Linked DNA regions of Astyanax mexicanus. The protein of the gene in region 2 purifies or fractionates together with the protein of the main gene of each other region. This does not show direct contact. Links are inferred from orthologs where the notes say so. Each region holds a gene or a part of one and is shown on either strand. Other genes may lie near its edges.

What was found.
Region 1: the proteins of blnk (region 2) and syk purify together in Homo sapiens (affinity purification with western blotting; 3 studies listed by BioGRID and IntAct, with this or other methods). This does not show direct contact. The link is inferred for Astyanax mexicanus from reciprocal best matches to the Homo sapiens genes BLNK and SYK.

Annotation. Positions count from the first base shown.
Region 1 is NC_064427.1:26,190,964-26,198,405, forward strand, and holds the start of syk (tyrosine-protein kinase SYK), read left to right. Parts: upstream 1-4,421; 5' UTR 4,422-4,445; intron 4,446-7,442. UniProt on the Homo sapiens protein: Non-receptor tyrosine kinase which mediates signal transduction downstream of a variety of transmembrane receptors including classical immunoreceptors like the B-cell receptor (BCR).
Region 2 is NC_064414.1:41,074,806-41,081,810, forward strand, and holds the start of blnk (B-cell linker protein), read left to right. Parts: upstream 1-4,005; 5' UTR 4,006-4,066; coding exon 4,067-4,135; intron 4,136-4,561; coding exon 4,562-4,624; intron 4,625-7,005. UniProt on the Homo sapiens protein: Functions as a central linker protein, downstream of the B-cell receptor (BCR), bridging the SYK kinase to a multitude of signaling pathways and regulating biological outcomes of B-cell function and development.

The DNA.
Region 1 (7,442 bases), on a different chromosome or scaffold from region 2:
ATGTTTGTTTTAGGACACTGATATCATTAATTAGAATATTCTGTCTCATCATAGCTTAAGAATTCTTCTGCTTTCAGTGTAAAAGAAAAGAAATCTTAAGATTCTTAAGAACTTCTGCTTTAAAGGTCTCATTCCATCGTTTTGTCCTTAATTTTAAAATGTCTAGTTGTCGTCTCTTATGTAAATGAAAGCAATGTAAGCTGTTTTTTTGTGAAAAAAAGTGCTCCAGTGATCCGGTATAACACTTAACAGGATTGTGGCTCTTGCTCATGAATATTCATTCAAATTCATACTAACATATCGCCTCTGATTGGGTAACAGCACTGCGAGGCAGTGAGACGGACAACAGTTAAAACGTTTTAAAATAAAGACATTTTTACACTAATAACAGTCTTTGCAACGTCATATGTTACTTTACAACATGTGTAATGCCCTGCTAAGTGCAGTTCAGCCACTGACCTAGTCTTAGAGTCTCTGTAAAACGGCAAATCCACCGGAGATCCTATGTAAACATAGTTATTTACACAGAGGTGGGTAGTCCAAGTTCAAAAAGTAAAAATCCACCCCAGGGTTGGCTGAGCCGCAGCAGAGCCACCCAGTCAGTTGGAACAAACCCCTGGGGTGGATTTTATTTTAACTAGTTTATTTTAAGCAGAACTGTTTTAAACATACACCTATCTGTCTCAATTGTACTTCGCTGGTGGTGTTCACAAGAACAGTTTCAAGCGCAGCATTCATATACAACTCAGAGAGACCTTTTGTATTTCACAAAGAACAAGAAAAAGGTGGATTTTAGCAGAAGGAGACCTTTAACTAGTTTATTAATTAGTTTGCTATTTTCGGAAGCCATGTCCATGTAGTGATTCACTTTCCCATGTTTGAAATTGTTCCATGCTGTCGATTCTAAGGTGAGACTGCTGTTGAGATGAACGTCACTGTAGAGTTTACAACACCTTAAGTCATTCAATCCTGTCAGTGATTCATCCTTTCAATTAATTAGCTACTTTAGGATCTTCCGAGGTGTTAAGAGGTTCAGAGCATACTCATATTTTTTCCCTGAACTGTGCTGCAGACTGGATCTGAATGTTCTAGCAATTGCAGAAGGAGCTTATTGAGTTCTTGTGACCTGCAGTGCAAATGAAATTACGGAAAAAAGCACAGCTTGAAAAGACCCACTTCAGACCACCTTTAAAATTATTTCTAAGCCTCAGTGAATCTGAATCATTCTGTGTTATATAACAGCCTGACCAAATCTTGTCTTCAGAGTGAATTGGAACCGAGGTGGCTCTGACCCATTGTAAAATAAATGAACCGATCATTCCAACCTTATTTTGTGTTATTATTGAAGCGTAGTTTAATTCAGAACTAATTAAGCTAACAGAGACACGCAGTGACATTGATGTGAAGCACCAAAAGCCTTGTGTGGAGAATTATTAGCAATTTTCTAAATGATAATTTTAATTTAAAATTAAATGTAAATTGATTGACTATGTATTAGTATTGTCTGGTTTATAAAAAAATATGTGATTGGCCAGAATTCCTCTAATTAGGCAATTCTGAGGTTTTTAGGTTAAGAGATACAGCAGCTCTATGGGAGGCTTCTTTGGGCCCTATCTTTCAACCTACTGCTTCTTGCTATCTTACACCCTGCCAACAGTATAAATAGCAATGGAGCTAGTAAATATATATCTATGCAGATAGGTGTGGTGGTCCCAAAATAAGGTGTGTTTAGTTAAATGTCTTGCGTATTGCTATCTTGGCAATAGAAAACACAGGTACCCCAGTGACAGAAAAAAATGTCAGATAAACGTAAACAGTACGACTTTCATTGTTATCTTGGCAACAGGTGCACTGTGCTTGCACAATGCTTGTACACCCCTGCACATTACACACACACACACACACACACAAGGACATGCATCAGTGCACAAACCCAACTTTTACACCAACAATAAACAGAATCCAAAAAATATATATTGCTGTTCCCATTAATGACCTACTCACGCACCTTTAGAGCATGAGCGAGTAAATCAGTTTCCTCTGCTTAGACATGCTGGACACGTCAAGGTAGCTCCACCTTTAAAATAGCAATCCACCAAAGTCAGAGCATACCTGGCTCTTAAAGAAAATAGTAAGTGAGACACTGATTGGTTTGTTCCACATTACACCCAAAACACACCCACGATTAATTGAGATAATTAATACATGTCTTTTGAGTGTTTCGAGCCGTGCAAGGAGTACTTTTCCCAACGTTATGATAGCAAAGAAACACTGACACGTCCTTAATCAAGCTGCATGGTGCACAGTTGACGGCTCACCTTTAGATCGCTAAAATAGGGCACTAAATTAAACTACCAAGCATGCTCATGGATGCATACACTCATTTGAGCCAATGTTGTGCTTCATTTGGTACACTGCTTCTGCTTCATCAATCTTTTAAAAAGAAAGAATGCTTGTAGAATGTGTAAAACTAACATGCCCACTAGGTGAAGCAGCAAAAAAGCCTTTTCATAACACTAACTGGATAACTCTCTCTCGAGTTCTATTCATTCCACTTTGAACTCCACAGTGCATTTCTACACAGACATTGACAGACTCTCTAAGCTGGTGCTCGGACTTCTATAGAGTGAAACTTGGATCAACTAAAAAAGAATCCAATGATGATGCTATACCAAGTTTGTATAAAAAGGTTATTTCCATTCCAGCCTTCGGTAGGTATTTGTAATTGACTGCTCATACTGTACCATGAGCAATTAATCCCATCTTCTCAAGTGTGGGTGGCTGAGATGGGTTGCAGGTTAGAGCAGGACCATATGCCCTATATGCATATCCCACAGATCAGGGCAGCGTTTTTTAGTTTCTAATATGTTTCTAGCTTCTAGGTTTATGCACCACAGCAAGCCTTTGAAGGATCCTACACCTTGAGGTTCGTGGGACTCCAGAGGCATCAGCAGCTTCTCTCTTAATCCAATGAACTTGTCTGGCAGAAACCTTCCTCATTTTGCCTTTATCTGCACGAACCCGTCTGTGCTCTGAATCAGCCACAAATCTTTTCAAAGTACGATAATCACGCTTAAGTTTACGTGAAAAACTAATGTTTTCATACCTTGTCCAAGGCATTGCACTATTTGATGCTTTTTGGCAGCAGAGAGATCCCTTATCTTTCCCATGTTGCTTAAAACCTGTGGCCTGCTTAATAAAAATAATAATGTGGAATCCTTCTTAAGTAGTGTTCCTTAAATTGGGCTCACCTGGCTAACTAATTATCTAATTATCACAGGTGTCTGAGATTGATTTCAGTGATCCAAAGAGCCGTGAGACACAATACCATCCATGGGTTTAATTGAGAAACAAAAAAAAAATCTTTGTCACACTTAAATCCAATTTGCATAATAATTTGGAACATGGTGTACAGGTTGGACAATGAAACTGAAACACCTGGTTTTAGACCACAATCATTTATTGTCCCGACGGACAGTTCTGGTGGAAATTGAATTCTGCCGTGATTTGGGCAGCCGTGTTTTTATTTTAATGTTTTTTGGATACAATCCGAGTTAGCACTCAAACATCCCTTTCAGACAGCTTCCTCTTGCGTCCACAGTTAATCCTGTTGGATGTGGTTGGTCCTTCTTGGTGGTATGCTGACATTACCCTGGATACCGTGGCTCTTGATACATCACAAAGACTTGCTGTCATGGTCACAGATGCTCCAGCAAGACGTGCACCAACAATTTGTTCTCTTTTGAAGTCTAGTATGCCACCCATAATGTTGTGTGCATTGCAATATTTTGAGCAAAACTGTGCTCTTACCCTGCTAATTGAACCTTCACACTCTGCTCTTACTGGTGCAGTAATGTGCAATTAATGAAGATTGGCCACCAGGCTGGTCTAATTTAGCCCTGAAACCTCCCACACTAAAAGGTGTGACAGGTGTTTCAGTTTCATTGTTCAACCCCTGTAGTTCCTAGATAGATGGAATGTGGCAGTAAATAGTAGTCTGTCAATATAAAGTTTTTAAATTTTCTTTAGGGAAACTAAATCATCAAGTCATTTTTTTTTGAGTTATTTTTGCAGAGTGCGCCTCCTCCAGAGCAGATGGCTCAACACCTTTTTATCACCCGCAGCCAAGCACCAAAAAAACTGAAAAAACACACCGATCTTGGATCGTGAAACGTGAAAGCGGGCCACCGCCGGCGAGGGCGTGCCTCCAAACTGGAACATACCCTGAGAATGCATGTTTTCAAATAATAAAAGAAAAAAGAGCCTCCTTTCAAGACGGTGGGTTCCTCTGCACGACTGAGCCACGATCCAATTATAGCCCCAGAGAGCGTGAGGCGAGCTGAGCTTCACGCAGTGTGTGAAGAGGAGCCTGTGATGTTCACAGAGCTGCGCGTGGATGTGTCTGGATGTAGGCCAAGAGCTCACGTGCGACCGAGATCACGCAGGTAGGGGAACAAGAAGGTGCCTCGGGCCTACAGCCTACAGCGTGCTTGTGCTCGGCTGCTGCTTCTCTTACTGTACCGGATCTTTTAGCTGTTATAGATGTTGTGTCTGGATTTCGGATGTTCGGAAGTTCGGATCTGCAAGTGTGTGTGTGTTTGTTTGTGCATGGGCTGGCTGGGAGGGTACGGAGGGGGGTTGAGTTTGCTGCTGGGCTCCAGTAGGAATGATCTAAGGAGGGAGGTGCATCACGCTGGGTTGCTGGAGGTGCACAGCCCACCCTGTAGTGTAGGACTGCTGTGTTTGCTAATGCTAATACTGTTGTAATACACTATGCATAGAGAGGAAGCTCAGTCTCCTGGGACAAACTCTGTCTCTCTCTCTGTCTCTCTCTGTCTCTTTCACTCTCCTCTCTGTCCGTCTCCATTTTTCTCGGTCTGTGGGAGGTTGTTATCAGCTGCTGTGATTGGCTGGCCAGAAAGCAGGGCAGAATGATGGCTGGCGTGGGAGATGCCCACTTATTCTCTCTGGACAATTTCTTAATGTTGCCTACTTGTTATAGCGATAGCATTAGGGATAGCATTTGGCCAAAAAGCTACACTGTAAAAAAATATATTCATAGGGTTGTTAATTGTGTAACATTTACACAAAATAGTTGAATAAGCAACTGAAAGAGGAATTTGGAGTAAAATCTGTGTTACATAATTTTATTGTGTTTTATAAAATTAACAATTTATTTGGATAGAGAACACACATATTTGAGTATGTATTGGGGTAGTCAGTTACAGTATATTTAATTTTTTTAATGGTTGACTGCTTGGTCACAGAGTTGTAGGGCAGAAGAGTAAGTTACCTTTTTTTTACTACAAAGTATGTCTTTATGCTGGATTAATTTTCCAGTGGAATGGGAAAATTGACTTGCACAAGGATAGCAGGGTAATTTTTTACACAGTATCAAGAAACAGATACACAAGCTAATCTCAAAGACTAGAATGGCAGGGACAGTAACAAAGTGGCAGCAATAGTAAACAATATACCAGGGAGAGAGCAGGCAAAATGGGTCATACAATGAAACAAATGAAATGCAAGGTAAAAGAGCTAGGAAATAAATGCAATACCAGGCAACAAGGAACAAAAACATAAAGGTAATTATATTAACAGGTCCAGATGTGTGTAATCAGAAGCTTGGCGAGTTAGAACACTGTAGCATCATATGATCAGCAGAGTCCGGAAGGTGTAAGTGCATGCTGGGAGTTGGAGTCTTTAATGTGTGCAGACTGACAATGTAAGGAATGACACAATCATGTCTATTATATGATAGATAGATAGATAAATATAAAATAAGCAAAATAATCTAACACTTAGTAAGACAAAAAGTCTTATCAGAGAAGAAAATAAGTTTTATTGCCTTAAATTTAGAAATTTTCACTTGCTAAGATTTAGTTTTTTGCAGTGTAGTCAGACAGACAGACAGACAGACAGACAAACAGACAGATAGATAGATAGATAGATAGATAGATAGATAGATAGATAGATAGATAGATAGATAGATAGATAGATAGATAGATAGATAGAATGGAATTTGAGTTGAGCAAGGTCGTGTTCTGAAGGCCAGATGTATTGAACATAGCATTTCTGAAATTGTGCATGGCATTTAAAAACAAATGGTGTTTAAAAACTCCAGCAGCATTGCTGTGTCTGAACACTTGTACCAGCACAACACACACTACTAAAACCACCATCATACCAGTGTCCAATCTGCAGTGCTGAGAACAACCCACCACTACAGACAATACCTGCTCTGCTCTGCTAGCAAGAGATAGATAGAGAGAGAGAGAGAGAGAGCGAGAGAGAGAGAGAGAGAGAGAGAGAGAGAGAGAAAGAGAGAGATATTGTAGTTTGTAGTGTTTGATGAGGCATGCAGACAATGAATAAACCCAACACCAAAATGACAGTCATCAAGGTTTAATGAATATTTTGGGGTTTGGCTAAAATTGGACGCGTCTCTGAGATTGCTCTTCGCTCTGAGGTTATTCTGGACTCAGACAAATATTTTTACATATTTTTGTGAAGGGATGGAAAGTTATTGCATTTTATATTACTGCCTCAATTTGAATGCATGAATTTTACATGAGGCCAGAAGATTCTCTACAGGGACACTCAGCGCTGAGCACTTTCCTAAAATGACTTTGTTAGATTGCCTTATTCAGAGAGTGATAGAGACATTACATTATACAGAGAGCTTCACAAATATACGTGTCACTGCTGTCTTATCAAAACCTCATCACACCACCAATTTTTACCTTTACTTTTTACCTTCGATGAACATTTTAGGACGAACTATGAATGGGCCAACCCAAGTGGTCTAGAATTATGATGTATGTTGCCGTTATCAAAATCTTAGGTCTCCGGCAGCCGATAGCAAGCTACATAAACAGGATTCGAACAGGCGATGTCCTAGTAACTGACCTTTTTTTACACAAACCTGTAGAGTCAATGCAGCTTGAGTCCACGCTGTGTTAAAAACGTTAACGGGCATCTTGAGGTCACACACTGAACAATTTATTGCTGTTATAAACTCCCTAATAATCCATTTAACTCTCTATACCTTTAAACCATCCTTGTAGTACACTGTGTTCTTGAAGTGATGCGTGGAGAGCTTCTGGATTCTGAACGCTCTGAAACGTCCCACATCACCTCCTCCACCACCCTCTGGCCTCCACTATTTCTCTTTTTCCATTCTGCACTTTCTCATTTAGTCAGGTCATAAACTCAGAGACCCTTTTTTTTCTTTAATACGTTCTGTCCCTGAACAGGTCTGTCTCCTTTTTCCAGTTCTGCTGCTGATCTGGGGAATGGAACAGACATGCTTTGTGGTCTGTGACGGCACAGAGAGATAGAATAAAAGAAGAACAAAAGAAACAGAGATACAGAATATGAGTGATTATCTCTGTGTAATTGAACCCTCTCCACATTATTCCCCATCCTTTCATTTGTGTTCT
Region 2 (7,005 bases):
CCCATAGAACCACCACGGAGCAGGTGATATTTTGGGTGGTGGGTCATTATTCTCAGCCCTGCAGTGACACTGACATGGTGGTGGTTTATGAGGTGTTAGTGTGTGTTGTTCTCGTATGAGTGGATGGGACACAGCAGTGCTGCTGGAGTTTTTAAACACCTCAATGTCAGTGCTTTACTGAAAATAGTCCACCAACCAGAAATATCCAGCCAACAGCATCCTGTGGGCAGTGTCTCTGACTTTACATTTACAAGGTGGAGCAGCTAGATAGGAGTGTATAATAGAGTGGACAGTGACACAGTGGGTACATTGTTTAAAAACTCCAGCAGCACTGCTGTGTTTGATCTACTTGTACTGTATCAGCACAACACACAGAGTAACTAACACACCACCACCATGTCAGTATCAGTGCAGTGATGAGAAGGATTCACCATCCAAATGATACCTGCACTAGGGTGATGCTGTGGGGTCTTGAGCATTGAAGAACAGGGTGAAAGAAGAATAATAAAATATGCAGAGAAACAGATACAGGACTACAGTCTGTAATTATAGAACTATATGAAACAGATTACCATATTTTTCACGCTATAAGGCGCACAGGATTATAAGGCACACTATCAACAAACGTCTATTTTTCTGGTCTATTTTAATACATAAATTGCACTGGATTATAAGGCGCATTTAAAGAGACACTATAAGGAACTTCTAATTCAGCAGGTCTCGCCACTGTGTGGTGGTGGCGGGTAGCTAACTAAGTTAAGTAAAGCTAAGCTAAGTAAACAAAACTGTCAAACAAGCACTGGATGTTAATCTACACACATTCCTCTCCTGAAAACTGTTTATTTGGGTGAGTAAAGTGCTTCTGTTTATTTACAGTGAGCTTAGATTCCCAAATTTTTCAAGTACTAAGGCTGGAGCCTTAGCATTAACAGCTAACTGCTAGTGGTTAGCGACTAATGCCGCCTGAGCTACACTGACGAACCCTGAGTGTTCCGGGTAATAGCCAGGGCAATATCACCTAGAACACCTAAAACAGTTCGTCCCACGTACCCTGTTTTAACACGGTAGACAACGCACAAACAACAGTCCAATATACTAACCTTTGAACAATGAAATAGCTAGCACAGATAGCAGCTAATGCCAATACTGCTCTAGCAGTGCAAGCCAGGGTTGGCAGCAGGCTACAGGCTGATAATACTCACCTCTGCACAGGGAAATAGCAGCTAATGCTAATGCTACTGTTCAACCACTGGTGGAAAGTTGTATGCAGTAAAATGTACTACATACACTTGTAATGTAGTTACAGTTGTCTATCTTTTTGTTGTCATGGGATGACCAATGATCCAGATATGTGTGTATGAAATATACAAAAAAAAACAATTCTGGATATGGCAGTCTGTCTGATTATTTATCTACTAATTATATGTCTGTCATTTCAGTATGTACTTTACAGAAAGTATTTATTCTGAAGTGTTGTTTTAGTGTTTTTTTTAGTCTACAATTCTAAAATGTCTATAAACGATGGCAATTTTTTAAAATTGAAATTAAATTCACAGTTTACTTTATCACTTTTAACACCCTGACCTTTATCTCATATGTGTTAAAATAAACAACAGGGGGATTTTAGAAGTGGCTATAGTTATTTTTATTTTTAAACAGTAACCCAGAGCATGCTGCTCATTTTAATGCCTCAGCTCTTGTGGTCACTCAGCCCTGATCAGAAGTGAAAGCACCAATATAGACTTGCTTAGAAGTCAGGTATATTTCTGCTCTATGTGTTCCACTCTCTACCTCAATGTGCTCACTTCTGCATCTGAGCGTGAAATGAGCGTTTAGAGAGCGAGCGTCCGATACCATGCTGTGCCTTTCGTTTCCCATTCTCATATTGGTGGTATGGAGCTTTAAAAGGGAAAAAATCTACCATAGTACACTTCTGTGCATATATTAACCATTTGAAATCAACCTTAAATAAATCAATTACTTTATTTTATATTTTATTTTAGTTTATTAATTTTTATTTAAACACATCTTAGTTGTGGTGTATATATACAGCTCTGGGAAAAAAATTAGACCACTTAAAAAAGATGAGTTTCTTTTATTTTACCAAATTAAAAACATCTGGAGTATAATTAAGAGGAAGATGGATTATCACAAGCCATCAAACCAAGCTGAACTTCTTGAATTTTTTCACCAGGAGTGGCATAAAATTATCCAAAAGCAGTGTGTAAGACTGTTGGAGGAGAACATGCCAAGATGCATGAAAACTGATCAAGGTAAAAATGTTATCCATAGCTTATAGAATAAAACAAAAACAATAGTAAACAGTAGTAACAGTAGGTGCAGGATTTATTATTTTTTGCATTATGTTTCTTTAATATTTAAACAAACAAAAAAAAACTAAATAAAGTTTGCTTGGCTTAAATAACTAACTTCTTTCATAACCTTCTAATCATTTACTCAGCATTTTCATTTGATTGTATGTATTTCTCGTGGGAACTGTCTTTTATAGTTTTGGAAATGTAACAGGGTGTGTGTTAACAAATGGACAATAATAGAATACAAAAGTAAATAAAAAAACAGCTTAAAGAGAAAATTCTAAGATTGTTTAGCAAGGTTTTGAAAAGGTTCCAGGAAGGTTAGAGAAATTATTTTCTAGAAAAGGTCTGAAAACGTGTGACCAAAATAATGGTTTGCATCACAATGTTATTAGAACATTTATCATATAATGTTCCAAGCTAGATGGAAACCTTACTAAAAGTAGCATTGCCAAAGCTTAAAATTAAAACATTGACAGTGTTGTTTCAGCAACGTTACCAGAACGTTTAAAAATGTTATAAGAACATCCAAAATACTTGACAGATAAAATGTTTAAAGAATGTTAACTAAAATGTTCAGAAAATGTTCTACTAACCAAAAAAAAAAACATTGTTAGCTTAAATGAACACTTTAGAGATCTGTTTTATGTGTGGATTAAATAATGTGTTAACAATGATTATATATTACGTCATACAGGAAGAGGATGTTAAATAAAGTCTAAAATATAAACTCTTGTGTTGTTAAATGTTATGTTTTATACATTAAATTCACCAATGAAAATATTCATTTTACTTTAATGTGAGTTTTAATTAAACACATTTTGGTTGTTGTGTATTTATATACAGCTCTGGAAAAAAAATAGAGACCACTTAAAAATAATGACCAAATTGAAAGCATCTGGAATATAATCAAGAGGAAGATGGATGATCACAAGCCATCAAACCAAGCTAAACTGCTTGACTTTTTGCACCAGGAATGACATAAGGTTATCTAAAAGCAGGGTGTAAGACTGGTGGAGGAGAACATGCCAAGATACATGAAAACTGTGATTAAAAAACAGCGTTATCCAGTGTTATAGTTTATAGAATAAAACCAAATTATATACATAAATAAAGTGGTGCAGGCAGTTTTTATTTCATGTGAGATTCAATTTAACACATTTTAGTTGTTGTGTATTTATATACAGCTCTGGAAAAAAATTTTAGACCACTTAAAAATTGGGATCATCACAAGCCAACAAACCAATCTGGACTGCTTGAATTTTTGCACCAGGAGTGACATAAAGTTATGTAAAAGCAGTGTGTAAGACTGGTGGAGGAGAACATGCCAAAATGCATGAGAACTGAGATTAAAAACCAGGGTTATCCGTAGTTATATATAGTTTATAGGATAAAACCATATTGTTAATAAATAAATAAAGTTGTGCAGACAGTTTCTAATAATCCTCCAGAGGATGACCCTCCATCTTTCTTCATGAATGAATGCTAAAGCAGTGGATTGTGCAAGTCAGGACAACACTACATGCAACAGCTGGAAACTCCTAGATATAAAGAGAGAGAAAAAGAAAGAGAATTTAGTAGACGTACAGACAGATGGACAGAAAGACAGACGAGCATAGAGGCAAGAGGAACTTCCCACACTTCCCACATTATGTCAAGCTTGGTTGCAGCATACTTACAATCAGCACCTCCTGTCCGGCAGTTCCTGTCAGAGCAGTTCACGCAGCGTTAGTGGAGTAGCCGAGGCTGAGATGAGTCTGCCGACCAGGGAGCAGTTTGAGGACTGGGGTCCGGCTCAGGTGGCCCTTTTCCTGACTCAGGTAAGAGATCAGAGAAGTGGTCTTTAGGATTTCTCCTCAGGAACTGTGCTGAACATTCTGCAGCATTTTCAACACAATCTCTATCTGACACATCTGTAACACGCAGTCAGATAACATAGGGACTGTACTTTCCTTTACTAAAAACACACTTAATAAACTAACAGAAGATACTTAACCATATAATATACTCTTATTTAAGTGTGTTAACAACTGTCCTGACCTTTAACTATACGCAAAATTAGTGGTTATAGAAAGTCAAGCTTGTTTCCCTTTCACAGATGAGAGAACAGATAAGCACATTGAGCACAGCCCGAGCTTTCACCACACGTGAACTGCATTTTAAATATGGTGTGTGCATGTGTGTGAGTGTGTGTGTGGTTTAAGAACTGTTACAGAGGTGCAATATTATTTATATTTTTCGAACAGAACAAGATGCGAGAGTGTGCTTTAACAGTACAGAGGATGAAGATTGATGGCCGCTGGTTTCTGGTAAGAAGAAATAAATGACTACATGGTGCTAAATGGGGCTAATTAAGCTTTCTAACACTTTACAATAAGACTACATTACTTAACAGTTATGTACTGTACTTACAACAGAATGTCTCATCTAGGCATTAATTGACACTAGTTGAGACAGTATTAATAATAGTAACAATTTAATGAACTCAATATTTATATAAAACATAAGCAGTTAAATTATATTGTAATGAACATATTAAAAAATATGTTAACTAATGTCAGTTAATAATAAAAAAATGTTTATTACCGTCCTATATACCTTTACTGAGAAGTGTTAACATGCTATGTGTACGTATCTTATCAAATAATACGATTTATACTATCTAACCTGAAATAATCTGAGTTGTCCACCCCCCCCTCCCCACTCACTCACAAGTCTCCACAAGTGCCCAAACACAACATAGTACATATTTACTTGATTAATATCAGTATAATCTACACTTAAATATCATCTGGGCAATTAAATCCCCTGGTTTTGTTGTTTTTGTCATTTTGGAGCATCAGACAGAGCAGGAAGCTGATAAGTGTGTTTGAATCAGAGCTGCAGTTTGGAGTCAGGTGAAGAGAAGCTGCTCTGCACTGAATTTGAGAGCTTAATTTTTTTAAGATAAAAGGCTTGAGCCCAGTAACAGCGAATCTTCTTCTTCTTCCTCCTCGTATTTAGTCCCACTCGAGGGTGGGGTCCGTGTGTTTGGATGCTCGTCATCATTTTGTTCGATGCAGGGCGCTTTCAAGGGCGACGCATGCGTATTACATGTCTTCTCTTATCTGGTCCATCCACCACTTCTTTGGCCGTCCGCAAGGCCTCTTACCTTGCAGGCTTATGTGCGGGGCCCATTCATGATGAATTTTTGAATTTTTGCACCATGAGTGGCCTAAATTTATCCAAAAGCAGAGTGTAAGACTGGTGGAGGAGAACATGCTAAGAAGGTCTGAAAGCTCTGCATCTGTTGTGTTAATATCAGCCATTTCTCATTTTCTGCAAATAAATGCTCTAAATGACAATATTTTTATTTGTAATTTGGGAGAAATGTTGTCTGTAGTTTATAGAATGAAACAACAATGTTCATTTTACTCAAACATATACCTATAAATAGCAAAATCAGAGAAACTGATTCAGAAACTGAAGTGATCTCTTTTTCTTTTTAAGAGGAGTATATATATATATATATGGTCAAATTCATGCAAATATCTATTTTCTGTTTACATACATTTCAAATGAAGACTTTTGTTCGTAAATAGTATTTATGCATCTAATGTCTATCTTTGCACTTTTGTCCTCTGTTCTGGAGAACTTGTACTGTACAACCCAGTATGAGTATAATACCGATAAAGTTTAATTTAATTAAACAGCAATACAGCGGTGTAAAATACCAGACTGGACTTTCATTTAAAGAACACTCACAAAAGATCATGCATGCTAACGTGGTTAACAATCAATATAAGACATGCAGTACTAATTGGGATTTGCTACTTTTCCATTTCCCTGAACCAAATGAACAAAAACCCAGAGTTTCTGCTACAGATGTGCTGGAACTATGATAGAGTAGAAATGGGGACTGACTGGTCCCTGAGGACTTGACTACACTTGTCTACTCCATTACATTTTGTAAGATGAATTCAATTTTCCTGCACTACATTTCCCCTAAGGGGTGTAGTTACATTTTAGAAAAATGGCAATACCTTGCTCCCAATCCCTTTAGATTAATATATAAAGCTTACCCACAGTACACACACTGTTTGTACTCTGTGTTGTTATTCAGTCAGTGCCTTTATCAGGCCTCGGCAGGTTAAAATTACACAACAGAACAGAAACGGATCACGGAGGTTTAGCTAAATGTTTCATTTTCAGTTTGTTTCTTTATAAAATATCAAAGTTTGATTTTTTTTTATCAACAGAAAAAAACAAGATCTGCTACCAATTCCTAATTAATCTTGTCACCAGCTAATCTTACCTCAACTTCAGTCTCTTTAATGTTCAAAGGATTATGAAAGATGAAAGTGTTCGTTAGCAGGGAAGTCACTGATAGATCATTACAGGTGATGAGAATTAAAAAAAGATAAAAGTTGTGAAAAAGTAAAAAAAAGAGTGTGATTAGGGAAGTGAGATGACAGAATAATGGCACTTCCTCTGCTAGGAAATGTGTAACACATGGGCTTTTATGATGAAGTCACTAAAACACCCTGTCATAACCCTTTCCTGCGATAAACGCTTTACCATAAAATCTGTCTGATTTATTCAAATGTGAACTGGTCAGTTGGTTTGGTCAGACATGCAAATTAGGCTGAGAATGCAGCACAACACAAAAAGTGAAATTAGGGAAGTGCTTGGTCTATGAGGTGAAATGACT